2 linked regions of the Lonchura striata genome follow. The protein of the gene in region 2 interacts with the protein of the main gene of each other region in a biochemical or structural test. Links are inferred from orthologs where the notes say so. Each region holds a gene or a part of one and is shown on either strand. Other genes may lie near its edges. The genes, in order: PFN1 and WASL.

Region 1 (7,984 bases), on a different chromosome or scaffold from region 2:
CCCCTCCCCTGTCCCTCCTCTCCAGCCCCCTCAGTTTTGGGGTACCCCTGAGGTGTACACGGTGTCAGGGATGACGCAGGTGACAGCATCCTACAGGTGTCACAGGTGACAGGATCACCTACCTGGACACGGAGCGGGAGGGGACAACTGTCCCACAGGATGTAGGAGTGCCACGGCTCCACAGGTGAGTGATGGTGTGCCACAACCTCACGGCCATGGGGGTTGCCTCATGGCAGGGGCAAAGGCACGCAGAGGACCCCAACACCTGAGTCCATCCATGCTGGGTGAGGGGGGCAGGGGGGACACTCCCATCTCCCCCCACGGCCCAACCCCTGATACCCCAATCCCTGCCGTGGGGCAACTGCGGGGCCCTTCCCCCTTTCCGTGAGTCAGCCGGGGGTTGTGCAGGGGGGGGAACAGGAAGCGCCAGAGCCACCACATTGCCCTTATAAGGACTCGACTGACGGCACCGAAGCTGCTTCCGCCTGTCCGGACTCCTGCTCCAGCCGCACATCTCCCCCGCAACCCCACATCACCTTCCCACATCCCCATCGCTGCCCTACACCACCTTCTTCACCCCACATCAGCCCCGCCATCTCCCTGTGCCCCACCCCATCCCCCACATTTGCACCTCTGCCCCACATCAACCCGTCCCACCACCTCCCCAGTCCCCATCTCTGCCTCACACCACCCCCCCGAACACCTGGGGCCCTGCCTCACAGCTCGCCAGAATATCTAGAGGAGCTCCTGCCCCCCAATTCTCCTTCTGTTCCCCCCAGCATGCCTGTTCCATCCCACCGTCCCCCCCTGCTGCTGCCTGGACTCCCAGCTGACCTCTCCCCGCCTCCCCCATGAGTGCAGCCCTCCAATAAAGCCTCTGCCCCCCAACTTTGTCTCCTGAGTCGGGGGGTGGGAGGGGGAGCGCCGTGGGGCGGCTGCCGAGGCGTCACCCCCGCCCCACCGTGGACTTTGTTCCCCTGGGGCACGGCAGCACCCTTGGACCCGGTATCCGGGGCAGCCTCCTCCGCCCTGGGTGGAGGACGGAGCCGCACCCCACGGCCCTGCCGCATGTCGAGGTTCCCCCCAAAGCACCCAGATCCCCGAAATCCCTGACCCACAGCGACTCCCCACAAGGGCACTTTATTGCTGCCGGCAGCGGGGATCAGGGGCAGACAAGGGGGTGGGGGACGGGGTCCTGCTGGTCCCTGGCGGCTCCTGCTGGTCCCTGGGGGTCCGGGGGTCCCCCCCAGCCCCCTCAGTACTGGCTGCGCCGCAGGTGATTGGCCATCTCATAACATTTCTTGTTGACGCAGCCGCCGTGGACGCCCTCCTTGCCCATGGCCAGCACGATGGCTGCAGGGGTAGGGGAAGAAGGTGTGGGGGTCATCTCCGAGCCTCCCAAAACCCCCACCAAGCCCCACAAACCCCAGACAGACACGGGGGCAGCGGGGCAGGAGCTGGGATGAAGGGACACCAGGAGTTAGCAAGGGGTAATTTGTGGGGACCTGGGTCAAGGGGCAGGGGGGACACTTAACGGGAAGCAGGTCAGGGGCGATACAGGTGACAGGGCAGGTGACGTGGCCGTGTGGGGGAGAGGACACAGGGTAACACTGGGGAAGGTGGAGGGCGACACTGTGATGCCGTAAGATACATGGGAGGCACCTGTGGAGGCTTGGGGTCATATGTGGTGACAGGAACTGGTCAGCAGGTGCCACAGGGTGACAGGGAGGGGGGCAGGGGGTGCCACAGGGTGACAGGGGCAGTGCCACAGGGTGACAGGGTCTTCCCAGAGGGAGATTCCTCTTGTTGGCGATTTGGAAGGTGGGAGGTCACACGGGACGGGATGGCAGGGGGTGTGCTGGGGGGGCGATGGGGACAACACGGGCTGTGGGGTAGGGGTGGCAGGGGGTCCCTCACTCTTGTTGGTGATGGCAGCCGTGATGTTGAAGGTGGGCGCTCCGGCAGCCCCCTTGGTGCGCAGGTCCATGCTGTGCTCGCCCTCCACCAGCAGCGAGTCTCGGATGACGGAGCAGCGCAGCCCCCCCAGCGTCAGCCCCTGCACCAGCAGCGGCCCCCGCTCGGGGCCCACCAGTGCCGCCACCTCTGCTGGCTGTGGGTACAAGGGTCAGCCCATCAACAGACCCCAGACCCCCAAAGCCCACCCGTGAGAAGTGCGGCTGTGTGGGGATTGCAGGGGTAACTCCCCCTGCTCAAGGCCTGTCGCTTTTGCAGGCTGGACAGGGGTGGGGACAGGCCAAGGGGACCCCAAAGGCCCACACCCAGGGACCACCAAAACCAAATGCAGATGCCAAACCCCCAGGTAGGGCCCCTGTAGGGCACCCGGCAAACCGGGACTCTCATAACTCCCACTCCATGACCATAAAAGGGACCTAGGTGTCCCGGAACCCCCATGACTCCCGCCAGGGTCCCCACGGGAGAACCCTGAGCCCCGAGGGGTCCCCACAAGAGCACCCGAGAATCCAGGGATCCCCATGACCCCGCCTCAAACTCGGGACCCTCCAGGGCCAACGCTTCCACCAGCTGCCACGGGGGAGAACAGGTCAGGAACCCCAGGAAGGACTCCTCAAGCAAACCCCAAACCACATTTAGCCCAGAGCACCGCATGGGGACCTCACGCCCGGGGACCCCAAGGAACCCCATCGCAGCCCCTCGGGGGACCCCCGTAACTTCTCCGTGCCCCCAGACAGGGACCAGGGCTCCGGCAGGACCCCTTTCCCACCACGGGCTTCCCCAAACTTCCCCCCTCCCCACCATTTCCGTGGGGGGAAGTGGGGAGGGGGGAGGGGGTGCGCGCGCGCCGCCCCTCCCCCACAGGAAGCCCCGGCCGCCCCTCCTCCACCGGGAAGTGGCCGCATTCCGCGCATTTTTAGAGGGTTTTTAAGTGGGGAGGGGTTCCTCCGCTCCCCCACCCCCGAGACCCCCGCCATCCACTGAGGGGAGTGCAATAAAAGCGATGCGCAGCCGGGACGGAGCTCGCCGAAACACGTGGTGCTCGCCCTTCCCCCCCTTCCCCGCCCGCCCGCGACCCCCCAAAACGCTCGAAGCGGGGTTAAGGAGGGGACCGCCTCGCCGCCGGGCCCCCCCCGCCTCCGGGCCCCCCCCAGCACCGGCCCTCCCCCGGCACCGGGTCTGGGGCACGGGCAGCGCCCGCGCCCCCCCGCCGCGCTCCACGCTGGCGCTTTTGCGTTTTTCTCCCTTTTTTGTCCTTCCCGGAGCCCGTCGCGGGAGGGTGGGGGGGGGCGGCCCCGCCTCTCAGAGGCCGCCGGGTCCCCCCGCCCTCCGCGCGCTTGGGCGGGAAACGCCTCGGCGCGCTGCCCCCCCCCAGCCCCGCCAGCCCCGGCCTCTCACCGTGATATTGGCGAAGGTCTTGCCGGGGGCGGCGGCCCAGACGGCGGGGGTGTCGCGATAGCCGACGATCGCGGCATCCTGGCAGGTGCCGTCCGCCAGCAGCGTCTCCACGTAGGGCGCCCACCCGCTCATGGCGGCGGCGGGCGGGCGGGCGGGGCGCGGGGGCGCGGCCTTCCGCGGGGGGCGGGGCTTCGCCGGGGAGGGGGCGGGCTTTTCGTGCGGCGCCTGCGCGGTGCGACCGAGGCGCGGCGGCGGCGGAGGAGCGGCGGCGGCGCCGCGCGGCGGTTTTCATAGGGGACGGCCGGGGGCGGGGCCGGGGGCGCGGCCGGGGCGGGGCCGGGGCGGGGCCGGGGCCGCCGGCGCGCCCGGCCCCGGGAGGGCGCGCGGCGGTTTTGGGGGGAAGGGGGCGTTTGTTATTGCGACCCTTCCCTCGTTATCCGGACACCCTCCTCCCACTGCGCTGTTCCAGCCCCGCCGTTACTGCGATGGCCGCGCTCCCGTTTACTGGGAACCCTTCCCTTACTTGCCGCCCTCAATCCAAACCCTTCGTACTCTGCGTCCCGCGATTATCACGACGCATCCAAATTCAAACACTCCCTCCGTGTAGCGACGCTCGCTTCCATTATTCGGACCCTCCCCATCACCTCAACCCCTACTCTTTGTTGTGCCCCCTCTTCCCCGTTATCCCGACTCCCCCCCGCTATCGCGACACCCTCACGGGTATCGTGACACCCCTGGACTGATAACGAATCCCTCGTTATTGCTCCTTCTCGCTGTGTATTGTGATTCCCGGTTCTCCTGATACACGCCGTTATCGCGACACCCCGCCCCGCGCTGGGCCCGCGGTGCGCCCCGAGCGGGGGTGGCTGGGGGGGTGACAGCTCGGTGGGTGTCTGGGGGTGCAGGACCCTCGCCCTCCCCCCCGCGGGTCGCGGTTTGACTCAGGCGGGACTTTCCGGGGGGAGGGGGGAAGGGCAGCGGTTTCACTTCCTGCCCCGGGGTGGGGGAGGGGCTCGGCGGTCGAGAACGGGGAAGGGGCGGGCCGAGGCGTTCGGCACCATCTCCCCCCTCGGGGCGCCGAGGGTGCCGGGACCCCCAGACTGGGTTGGGGGTGGGGGGGGTCGAGGCCTCCTGAGGGTGCCCGTTCACCCACCCCCCCATAAAAGGACCGGCCCCGTCCCCCCCCCCCCCGGCGAGAACTTCCCCGGGAAGTGGTCAAAGCCACCGCCCCTCCCCCACGCTGTGGGGCCCATGGGGCTGAGTTCCCCCCTCCCCCACCCCGGTACTCCTTAGGGGCTGAACTCCCCCCACAAAGGACCCTCTGCACCCCCAAAATCGTGTCCCCCCCTTCCCCGTTCGCCCCCTCCCCTTGTGGCTGCTGCTGTTCCCCCCAGGGCCTTCAGGCGGCGCTCCAGCCCCGCCGCTTGGGGGTCGTGTTATAGTGACCCTTGAGGGGGGCTAACAATGGTCCCAATCCCGGGGGGGACGCTTAGGGACCATCGCCAAGTGCCACCAGCCCCGGGCTGCTGTGGCCCCACCCCGGTGACCCCAGGGGGGGCTGACTGTGACCACGGTCCCTCCAGGAGGGAGGGGCGAAGGGGAAGGGATAAATAATCCCGGGGGGAGGGGGCAGGGCAGGGCCCTGGGCAGGGGCAGCACTGGGTGAGAAGGGCCCGGACCCACCTGGGCCCCTCTGAGTGTCCTGGGTATTGGGGAGGGGGGTCTGGGCTCGCTCAGGGTCCCCCATGGGATGGGGGGGACACAGGGCCAGCTCCCGGCACCTGGACTTGGGGGTTCTCCCCATGGGAGCTCTGCGGAGTCCGGGGTCAGGCTGGGACCCCCAGGATCTTGGCCTTGACCCTTAGGTTTCCTATCCCACAGCCACGTCCATCCCGAAGAGATCACAGCCCAGGAGATCCTGGATTCCCATGGGAATCTGACACTGGAGGTGGATTTGTTTACAGCCAGGGGCTTGGAGGGGGATGCTGGGGTGGGGGGCGGTGTCACAGGGGTGTGCAGGGACTTGGAGGAAGCTCAGGGTTGTGGTGAAACGTATCAGGAGTGCCGGGGACATGGAGGGTCCCAGGGCAGGCAGTGACGGTCCCCAGGATGGGGTTGGGTTCTGGGGTCACATCGTGAATTTCTGGTAATTGGAGAAAAGTTATGGGGCAGTGGGGGAAGGGTAGGAAAGGGCAGAAGGTGGAGGGGGCACCCAAACATCAGGGTCCATCTGCCCATGGTGGGAGAGCAATTTGGAGGGGGTGGTCTTGGGGCCTGGATGCCCAGGTCCCCTTGGCCAAGGGTCAGCGCTGAGCGTGTTCGTGTATGGGGGTCTCGGGAGGGATTTGGGGGATCAGGAGGGATTTGGGGCCTGGACACCCCAGGTCTGTCTCAGCCGGGGTGGGGGTTCAGGGAGATTTGGGGATTCTGGGGGGATTTAGGCCCAACTCCCTGTGTGCACTTCCAGCACTGGAGCTTCTGAAAGCAGGCTGGGGACTGGACAAGGTGGTCATTGGGATGGACGTGGGAGGTTCTGAAAGCAGGCTGGGGACTGGACAAGGTGGTCATTGGGATGGACGTGGGAGGTTCTGAAAGCAGGCTGGGGACTGGACAAGGTGGTCATTGGGATGGACGTGGGAGCTTCTGAAAGCAGGCTGGGGACTGGACAAGGCGGTCATTGGGATGGACGTGGGAGGTTCTGAAAGCAGGCTGGGGACTGGACAAGGTGGTCATTGGGATGGACGTGGCAACCTCTGAGTTCTGCCGCAAGGGCAAATCCAACCTGGGCTTCAAATCCCCCCCTGGACCCCAAGCGCCTCATCACAGGGGGACAGCCCCACCAGAGCTTCGTCAAGGACTCTCCTGGTGTGCACTGGGATGAAACTGGGAGGGACTTTGATGGAACTGGGAGGCACTGGGAGGGGACTGGGAAGCAGGAGAGTGACACTGAGGACCAGGAGGTGCTGCAGGGCATCGGGGTGAACTGGAGCAGACTGGGAGGCACGGGGAGGGCAGCTGGGGACACTGACAGCTCATACAAGGCTGTGCCCAGGGCCGGCAGGGTGGTCACCATCCCTCTGCTACCCCCCAGGGGACTGGGCCACATTGCTGCATCTACTGCACACTGCTCGCTGTTTCCCCACAGCAGAGATCACTGGAAAGCTGGAAGTGATGCCTGGCACAGGTGGGCATCCAGGTGCTGGGCTATGGCCTGGCAGTGACCGACCCGAAGGGCACCGCACAGGCGGCCACGGCTGTGGGCACACAACTGCCTCCTGCTCGAGGTCCACCAGATCAGACCCATCGCCGAGTCCACCTGGGTGAGCGCTCTGAATCCTCGTGCAGCTCCCCGTGCAGCTCCCAGCACCGAGTCCACGCAGGTCTGATCCTCAAGTGACCCCTCGCAAACCCCTGGGTAACTCCCTCGTCACGGAGTCCATCCTGCTGTGGGTGCAGGGAAAACCTGCCGCAGCAGAGGCTGCCAGGTGTGACTGCGCACACAAACTCACACACACCGCTGTGAAAATCCCGACCACTGAATCCATCCAGGCTGAGTCTGTGCAAACCCTCCTGCAAATCTCTGAAAGCACTGGGCTCTCTGCGTCCACTCGGGTGTGAGTGCACGGCAAATCCTCATGCAAACCCTTGGGAAAAGGCTCCTCGGGAAGAGGCCTTGTGTGAAAACCTCACGCACAGCCCTCGTGCAAGCTCATGTCCCCGTGTCACCTCCCAGGCGTGTCCCGCGTGTCCCGCGTCTGCTGTCCGTCTTCCCCAAAGCCCCTGTGTCTGCTGGCCCCTGAATCACCCCCACATCGCCCCACTGAGCTCGCATCCCTCCCAGGATTGAGGACACGCTGGGGGACAAAGCCAAGTTGGGAGGGGGCAGATTCCCAAACCCCAAGGCCAAGAAGGAGGGGGAAGAGCAGCAGGGCCCACGCTGGACCCCCACCAGAGGGCTGCCCGCACCCCCAGTAAGCTCTGCAAAGTACCAGGAGCTCCCGAGCTCCTTTGTCTGGGGAGCGGGACGCACGCACACACAATGTGGGACGTGGGGGTGCCCCCCTCACCCCAACCATCCCCCAAAAAGAGACATGGGGACCAGGAGAGGAGATGAGGAGGTTTATCACCCCCTCTGCATCCCCGCCACCCTCCCCCCGCTGTTAAATACCCCCGGGGGTACCCCCCCCACCACCCCCATCACACACCGGGCCCCCCGGCACCCCCCCCGGCCCCGCCCTCGTCCTCCGCCTGCCGCAGCCGCTTCTTGGCCCGGATCTCGTTCATGGCCTCTTCGATGGAGCGCGTGTCCCGCTTGTTGGCCACCGGCACTGGGGGGGCACAGGAGAGATCCAGCTGGTGACCGCCCTCAGGACCCCCCCAGCGCCCCGAGGACAGCCCAGGTTTTGGGCTGAGGCTCAGCAGCCCCGCGGGACCCCCTGCTCACCGCAGCCGTACGCCTTGTTGGCCTCCATGGTGCGGGCGGCGGCCTTGGCGGCGTCGGAGCCGATCAGGTGCCGGTATTTGTCCTTGTAGTCGTTGGGGGGCCCCGGGGGGGTGGGACCGCGCTCAAGCTCCGCTTCCTCCTGCTGTGCCGCCAGCTCCTGCAGGGGAGGGG
Region 2 (8,090 bases):
CAAATTATAAAAGTTACTTCTTTACTACAGATTATAAAATGGACACCTAGCATTTACTTTTTCTTACAAAACACATAATTATTTAAAGTAATGATTAGTAACTAACCAGAACTTCTGCAAAACTTTTAAGTTGGGCATGACCACAAAAATCATTAATATGCACAGAACTAATCTCATAGCTCCACTTAGTATAAGTATACATAAAATTTTATTTCCACATTATTATTAAAAAGTTATTGAAAACTTTTTACAGGTGGCAAATTTTACACTTTACCTAGATAACAAAGGTCACACACCTGAACGAAAATTAGTTACATGCCTAAAAAATGGGAGTCCTAAAGGGCTTTATGGTAGATACATTCTGTAAATAGTTCTATATCTGGATTCATACTTCAGCCAAATTAACTATAGCTACAGTTTTGACTATTAGCCAGTGGCTTGGTTTTGAAATCCTGATCTGTCATGGGCAAAGGTATTTTAATTGCTTATAGATTCAGATAAACATTTTACAGCTCAGCAAGTGGAGGGAAAAACAAAAGAGTAGAGAAAAAAAATCAATTACCCTCTGTATGTACACTTGCCTACTAGTGAGTTTCTCAAAGTACCAGCAGTAGTCTGCAGAATGGTATCAACCTCAGCAACACAGAGCGACAGCTCTTCACCATTTCCCCCACTCACAGGAAATTTTTCTATCAGGTATCATTACTTAAGATGCCATTGGAACTATGTCCATTTCCAAGTTCGCAGACTGTGAGTACTCAATTGAAGTTATACTACTTGATAAATTCCTTTGCTCTTCCATAGAACAAAAATCATATAGTTGAATCCTCAATGTTATTTCAAAATAGCTGCCTTGTTACCAGTCAGAAACAAAGGAAAGACTGAAATAAATCAGATTCAGAGCACCACATGCTTTCTTAACTAAGCCCTTCAGGCCTGATAGCAGCACTATGGTGCTCATTAAGAGCTCTATAAATTATTACTACAAAGAGTATCTTAAAAGCAGAATTTCATGCCTCAACTTTCGCTAGTGTTCATTGCAGTAGTAATCTAAACGAGAGGTTTAATCAAACAAAACCTAAAATTATGTCAACGTGGCTGATACACATTACATCCAGTAGATTCTCTATGCCCCACAGTGACAGAAACTCCATCTGCAGCATCAAGGCAGCCCAGATATTTAGGGTGATTGCAAGAGCAAGCATTTAGCATTCTACAGAACTTAAATTTTCCTTTCTTAAAAAACAGCACTTACAGTCTGACACTTTACTAATTAGTAATTCAAACATGGGTGTTATGAGATCAAATATCATGAACATTACAGCAAAAAGGCATTTATCAGCACAGCATGTTGAGTCAAGCTGGAAGGTCAAGAATACCATGAGTCCTCTTGGGCTCCAAGAGATACTGTGGTTTCAAGTTAGACAGCCGAGGCTGTTACCATCTCCAGGTTCTCATTCCTGCTTTGCTTAAGACAATGCCCTCCAAGGGGCAGCATATTCAATCTGTTCACTTGTTTCTGAATTTCTGGCTCATGCCACACAGTAAGCCAAAAAAGCCTGGTTAAATACCTTTAGATCTTAAATGCTCAAGTCCTCAAGATTGAGCGGAGAACCTCAACTGTACTAAAATAAGCCTATTATTAACTCAGAGAGCACAATGGGCTGGGGACAAGAGGAAACAACAGACCACAATTTTAAGAACCTCAACTGGAAAGTCATCCAATATTCAGTGTAGATCAGAAGAATGTGTAACTTCAAGCAAGCTGTAAATCCCATGACACCCAGATCCTGTGAAGATATTTACCTCTAGCCTGCTTTCAACATACTATTTATGCAGAAAAGTTGGGAGCTTAACTAGGTGAGTTTTACAGCTGAGTATAACACTTGTCAGTGTTCACCTGACAAGAAAAAAATCAAGTTATAGCAAAGCAAACTGAAAATCAATTTACACACAAATTAATGCACTATTTTTTTTATATTTAGAGAGAAGTTGATACTGTTTTTTTTTCTTTCTTAGCAAACAAGCTGAAGATATGGAATGTTTCCTGAAATTAACTGAGACATTTCCACAATTCTCTACTTTTCAAAACATATACTTTACGGTCATACCTTCTGACACATAACTCAAATTACTGTGACAGCATCTTATCTAACCCACCCCAATGTAAATATTCTCTACTTCCTGTTCCGTTGCTGCATCTTATGTTTTCCTCGCAGCAGTATGATCAACAATACTATTTCAAAGTCCAGAGTTACGTGGAATCAGTACGACTGCACGGATATCCTGCTTTAAGTCAGTTTTAAGTTCATTAAACACCCACCATAGCTTTACAGCAAGTGCCCAACAGTATTTTAAATACTGGACAAAATGCACCAGAATAGTAATTGCTTTGAAAAATACGATTTTTTTAAAAAAGGAGCTTCTTTTCCAGTGAAAGTAGTTATCTTTTGAAGTTTTCAAATAGCTCTTTAATACAGAAAAGTAGTTTTAGTACAGTTTTACACTACATGCAAGAAGGTATTCTAAAGCAAAACTTACTGATAGAGAAATGGGAAAATATGCGGGATTTGAGTACACGGACTTCTTGTTTAGGCTAAGAAAAGTACAGACTAAATCCAAAGTAGGCCTAGCACCGATACGAGTCTTCCTACAACTTCGTCCAACACTGCTTTGTTGCACCGGTGGAGCACCTGAGGTCCGTCCCAGCCTCGTCGAGCAATGGAACTTTTACGCCCCCGACCCGGCGGCCGTTCCTTTGCGGCGGGCTTCCCCTGCAGCGCTGGGTCGGCTGCAGGGCAGCGGGAGTCCCGCCGGCCCCGGCAGCTCCATTCGCCGGTGGACAGCGAGGCGCGGAAGGACGCGCTCACACCGCCGCCCGAGGCGGTCTCGGAGCCGCCTGCCTTGGAAGGGAGGCCGGGCCCGGCGCTCAGGGCCGGCAGCCCCGCCGGAGCGGGCCGGCCGAGGGGCCGCCGCCGTTCATCGCTCCCCGCCCGGCGCTGCGGGCCAGCCGAGCGGGCAGCCAGGCCTGCGAGGGCCGCCCCCCTCCCGACGCCGGGACGGAGCAGGGGAGCAGGATCAAACTTCCGCAGCCGCAACTTCCCAGCGCCCGGCCGGGCTGTCCTCACACGCCCCCGCCCGCCCCGGGCCCCGGCCCGCCGCGCCCCGGTGGGGCGGCCGAGGGTGCCCCAGTCCCCTCTCCCCCCGGCCGGACTTACCACGCATTTCTTGCCGAGGAAGCCGAAGAGGCTCTCGTTCTCCTGCGGGGTGAGCAGCAGCGAGCCCACGTTAGTGACCCGCCGCTGGGGCTGCTGCTGCGGGGCGCCGCTCATGGCCGGGGCCGGCCCGGCGCTGCCCTCGCCGCCCTGCGACCGATGGCGCCCGCGGCCCCTTCCTCCCCTTCCTCCTCCGCCGCCGCCGCCGGGGCCTCACAGCAGCCGCATCGCGGAGCCTCCCTCGCGGGGCCGGGGAAGGAGGGAGGAGAAGAGGGGCGGCGGGGAGGGTGCGGGGAGGGGGGCGGTCGGGAAAGGGGTGCCGGGCGGCGGTAGCGCCGCGCCGGAGCCGCTCCGCGCCGGGGCCGCTCCCGATCGCTCCCGCCCCTAAACTTCCAACTCCGGCCCGGCCCCGGCGGCCGCGCGATCCAACATGGCAGCGGGGGCGGGCGAGACCACGGCGCGCGGCAGCCAAGGGGGAGCCCGGCGCGCGGCCGCCGCGACCATGCGCCGTGCGGGGGGAGGGGGGGGGGGAAGGCGTCGCCTTCCGCGCCCGCCCCCTCGGTACCTGCCGGGCGGGCGGTGCCGGCGGGGGCGGGAGGAGAGGCGTGATGGGAGCCGGGAGAAAGAACGACGAGAAGGTGACGGAAAGGAGGCGCGGTCGCTGTCCCGGGGCCGTGGGAACCGCCGGGGCGCCGTGGAGGGCAGTGCCGCTCGGGGCTCCGGGCTGGGCTCGTGGGGAGCTCGGGTCCATGGGAGAATCGCCCCGAGCTGAAGGGGCCCCACAATATCTCCTGCCCGCGGGGATGCGGGAACCGGCGTGTGCTGGAAGCCCTTCAGCTGTTAGTGGAGCCTGGTGTAATTTGTAACCCAAAGTCTTTTCTGGTTTTTTGGCAGAAAGGACGCTGCTGCCCGCGCAGGTTGCCCGGCCGGGTGTGGCTGTGCGCAGCCATTGGGGAGGCGGGCGCGGCTGTCACCCCGCCGGCCAAGCTGCCCGCCGCAGGCTGGGGCGAACAGTAGGCACTTCGCGCTCTCCAGGGGCCAGCCGTGAGGAGAAATCATGTCTACAATCAACAGCCTTTGTCAGCCACGTTTCTCTTCCCCCTGCTTCTCTCCATGTGGCAGCGGTAACCAGCTGCGGTGAAGGTTGAAGACATTTCAAAACCCAAAGACCCAAAGCAGTGCTGCTTATACTCAGCTTTCAGCTGAACAAAAGTAATGTTCTCGTTTCTCATGTGCAAAGGTGGAAAACAGATATCAAAGTGAGCAGCACCTTGCTAGTTTTCTGTGGTTTTAGGTGAAGAGTGTGTCTCATTCTCTGATCAATTAATTGTGTGGGAGGTGCTAGGTGAAAGGGGGAAGGTCCCCCACTGTAATTGCTATACATTGTACAGAAGAACTGAAGAAGTACAAGAGGAAACAAACCAGGGAAGAGAGGAGAAAAAGCTGGGAACACAAGTTTTTATATGATGCTGTGGTGACTTCGTATCTTCCTAAAGATCAGGCAGGGAGAAGATGGCAGCCCCTTCTGCTCTACTTACAGGCCCTTTTGTCTGTACTTAAGAGCTTGTAACTGTGTCTAAAAGTGTAAGGAAGGGAGAATATGGAAGAAAATCCTGATTTTACACCATAAAATAGTTTGAAATGTGTGCATATACAGGACTCCTCAATCTGCAGGCCTCTCAAAAGTGACTCTAGTCTTACTGTAAAGGAAGACCAGTAGGAACCAAGTGCTTCTAAAGCATTTATCAGCAATCCTAGATTCTTCAGTTTTACATACTTTCTGTAAAGTACACACTTTCTGTGTAAGTCTGTATGTATTTTAGTGGGAAATGCTTAAGCTATAAAATATTGGCAGTGTTTCTTTCATTGCAAATGTATGTAAAAAGGTAAAACACTTGAAAGCATTTTACAAGACAGTGTTTTGTGGGTTTTTTTGTGGGTTTTATTTTTCTGAGGTTTTTTTGTTTGTTTCTTTTATTTCATAAACTAAATAATTATTGTCTAGCTGAAGCCATTTTTGGGAAATTTACATGCCTTCCTTGCTTGTGGTGTAAATAACAAATATAGTACACTGTCAATGGGTATATGCTGGTATTGTCCTTATCTTCTAATCACTTGTATTCCTTGATTATTTTTTTCTCTCTAAAAACTTTGGATGTTCCTGTGTAGATCTTGCCATACTGCCTGGGTGTTACAACTGATGCATTTTGCTTCATACTGTTCTTTTGAGACCAGCTGGCTGGTAGTTATTCTTAAGGGCCTTTTAACCTTCAGGCTTTATTGTTAGGATTTTGTTTGTTTTTTTAATAAGGGGAGGCAGGAAAGGGAAGAAAATAGGTCTATTTTCAGTCCCTGTGTTTCATTAATTATTCAAAAGCTGTTTCTGTTTTCATATCATAGCTAAGCAGCGAGTCCTGAAGGGAAGGGGAAATACCAATATCTGTCGATACATCCATAGGATTCACTGAAAAATAGATTTTTACCTTTAATATATATGTTTGCAGTAATTACAGCAAAAAACTGCTATTTCTGCATAAAATATCCAATTTGAAGCAAAGTTCTCTCAAAGAAAGCCACCGAATAGGGTTACCTGTCTGTGTTTTGAAGATGTAGGAGTGCTCGTGCTGACTTAGGGCAATTGCTGTTTATTGGAGGCTATCCTCTGGATTTTTCACTGTGCTACTTAGGGTCCAAATTGTGTTACCTATTGCTGATGTCTATGAGCTTCTTGGGAAGCTTCTCTTCTTTCATATTTTTTCATTTCAGGATACCAGTTCATAGCACCAAGGTACTGAAATCCATTTGAAATTGCATAATGTGTGTCAATATAAGTGTCTTGATTTCAAAGATCTGTATTATAAATATGTTATTTAATAAATAGATTTTATTATCCTTGTCAGAGTTACCTTTGACAGAAAATTGAATTTTGTCTTTAAATGTGAACCTCTACTGTAATAGTTCATACTTTGAGTTTCACAGTTTAAATATTCACACGATTTCAGAAGTAACATTCTACAATTTAAGATGGAGTAAGAATGTGAGGAAAACTTGCTACCTAAAGTTAATTTTTCTAGTACTATGAATCATACATTGAAGATTTTATTAATGACTGAACTATATAAGTGAAAAAAAAATTGTTTTCCAAGTATTTATTTTTTAGTAGAATCACTGCATTTCCCAAGTCTTGATCTTGTCACAGTAATGGTTTTAGGTCATGGTTTGGTTTTCTGGTTTTCCATAAAATAAAGAGACAGTTAATTACACCAAAGAACAAGCAAGGGTAACAGAGAATATGCCTTTCCATGGGAAAAAAAAAAAAATTCCTGCCATCTCTTCCATCTCATGTTATTTGCAGTGACAAGTAGGATGGTCTGGGAAAAGTGCAAACCTTGCTGCAGCAACCACAAGAGCAGGGCTGGGGGAGATCAGGAGTGAGAACATAGGATTACTGTGACCATGCAGGAGGGGTATGTCAATAGGGTAGCCTGGGAATGGACAAAAGTGAAGCAAGCTGCCTTTCCCTCAATACCCTTTTTGGTTGGGCCTGTAGAAAACACCAGTCTCCTCACTGCAAAACAGCTTCTGGTAACTGAAAATGAGGAACTGTCTTTGTGATTGGAAGTGCGTTTGCAGCTGTGAAGACACGAGTTCTCTTCTTCGGGTAAATAATATTTTTCTTAACGTAGACCCCATTGAAGAGGATTGGGTTTGCACTGTTGTTAAATAAATGTCAAATAACATATTAGTTATTTTACTGATAATGGCCTCATTCATTTCTGCTCTTTGTGTTCTGAGCCTTTGAAGTTGAGGAATTGCAGCCCTGGGAAGTACCCCCTACAGGTAACTGAATCATCTATTAAGTTAGGGTTCATTTCAAATTCAGTCACTGTATTTCCTTTCTCAAAAATTTTGCATTATCTGTTTCAGATGAGGAATAGTCTGGAACTCCTATGGTGTTTTATTTTCTCTATATTGAATTTGTATGCTGTAGATGTCAATAACAGAACGACAATTTAGCAATAAAAGTTGCCAAAGATGATGGTTAAGTTTTATTAATTGGTCAGTAAAGCCTCTGCTGATTCCATGTGGATGTGGAAGTGTGTCAGTAGGAAGCAGCTTCCCCCTTGGTGGGCAGGCTGTGCAGCAGAGTGTCCTTGCCGCAAGAGTGAGCAGGCTGCAGCCTGAGAACCAGTGCTGTGGTACAATAAGTTCTTTCATTTCTTGCACGAATTCTGCCTTAGGTGCCAGCTAGAACTTTTCCTGTAGTGCCCATTGTGTATGTCATTTGTTTTTTTTCTTGCCCTCATTTTTGACATCAGACTACTTACTTAAATAAAAGTAATTTGTGCCCTTCCAGTTTACTCAATAAAGGATAAGATTGGTTTTGCTTTGGACATAGAATTGTACTTTCGAATTATGAGGATATCTAGCTCTTTTCAGGAGCTCCTCAGCAATTCCTTTGTGGCCTGAAACATCAGATTATATTGCTCTCTTTTTCAAAACTGTGAGGAAGATGGACCAAAAACATACTGGAATTTGAGATGTCTCCCTCTCCTCTTACTTATTGATCATTGCCTGCAGCAACTATGCAACACTTCTATAGCTGCTCTGCAAATTAGAGGAAAACATTTTTTTTCCCCAGCTCAGGTAGCATCTAACCTTGCATTAGAGCTCATCTTCAAAACTGTATGGCACAGTTTTTTAAAACACTCTTTATTCTCTTTTCTTGGTTTATAACTCAGTAAAGGTATGACTTCTTGAATTTTACACTCAGCAATAACCATGAGTGGAGTAAATAAGTTACTCTTGTTTTATTTGCAGGTATTAAAGGGAATATTTATTCCTTCCTGTAAGCTTCCTGACAATTTTTGAATT

What was found.
Region 1: the proteins of WASL (region 2) and PFN1 form a complex in vitro, tested with the Homo sapiens proteins (2 studies listed by BioGRID). The link is inferred for Lonchura striata from reciprocal best matches to the Homo sapiens genes WASL and PFN1.

What each region holds. Positions count from the first base shown.
Region 1 is NC_134636.1:1,310,755-1,318,738, forward strand, and holds PFN1 (profilin-1), read right to left. Parts: upstream 3,519-7,984; 5' UTR 3,502-3,518; coding exon 3,370-3,501; intron 2,111-3,369; coding exon 1,918-2,110; intron 1,354-1,917; coding exon 1,256-1,353; 3' UTR 1,125-1,255; downstream 1-1,124. Other genes in the region: SPAG7 (sperm-associated antigen 7), read right to left, coding at 7,567-7,697, 7,814-7,970. UniProt on the Homo sapiens protein: Binds to actin and affects the structure of the cytoskeleton. At high concentrations, profilin prevents the polymerization of actin, whereas it enhances it at low concentrations. By binding to PIP2, it inhibits the formation of IP3 and DG.
Region 2 is NC_134607.1:31,747,458-31,755,547, reverse strand, and holds the start of WASL (actin nucleation-promoting factor WASL), read right to left. Parts: upstream 3,411-8,090; 5' UTR 3,333-3,410; coding exon 3,219-3,332; intron 1-3,218. UniProt on the Homo sapiens protein: Regulates actin polymerization by stimulating the actin-nucleating activity of the Arp2/3 complex. Involved in various processes, such as mitosis and cytokinesis, via its role in the regulation of actin polymerization.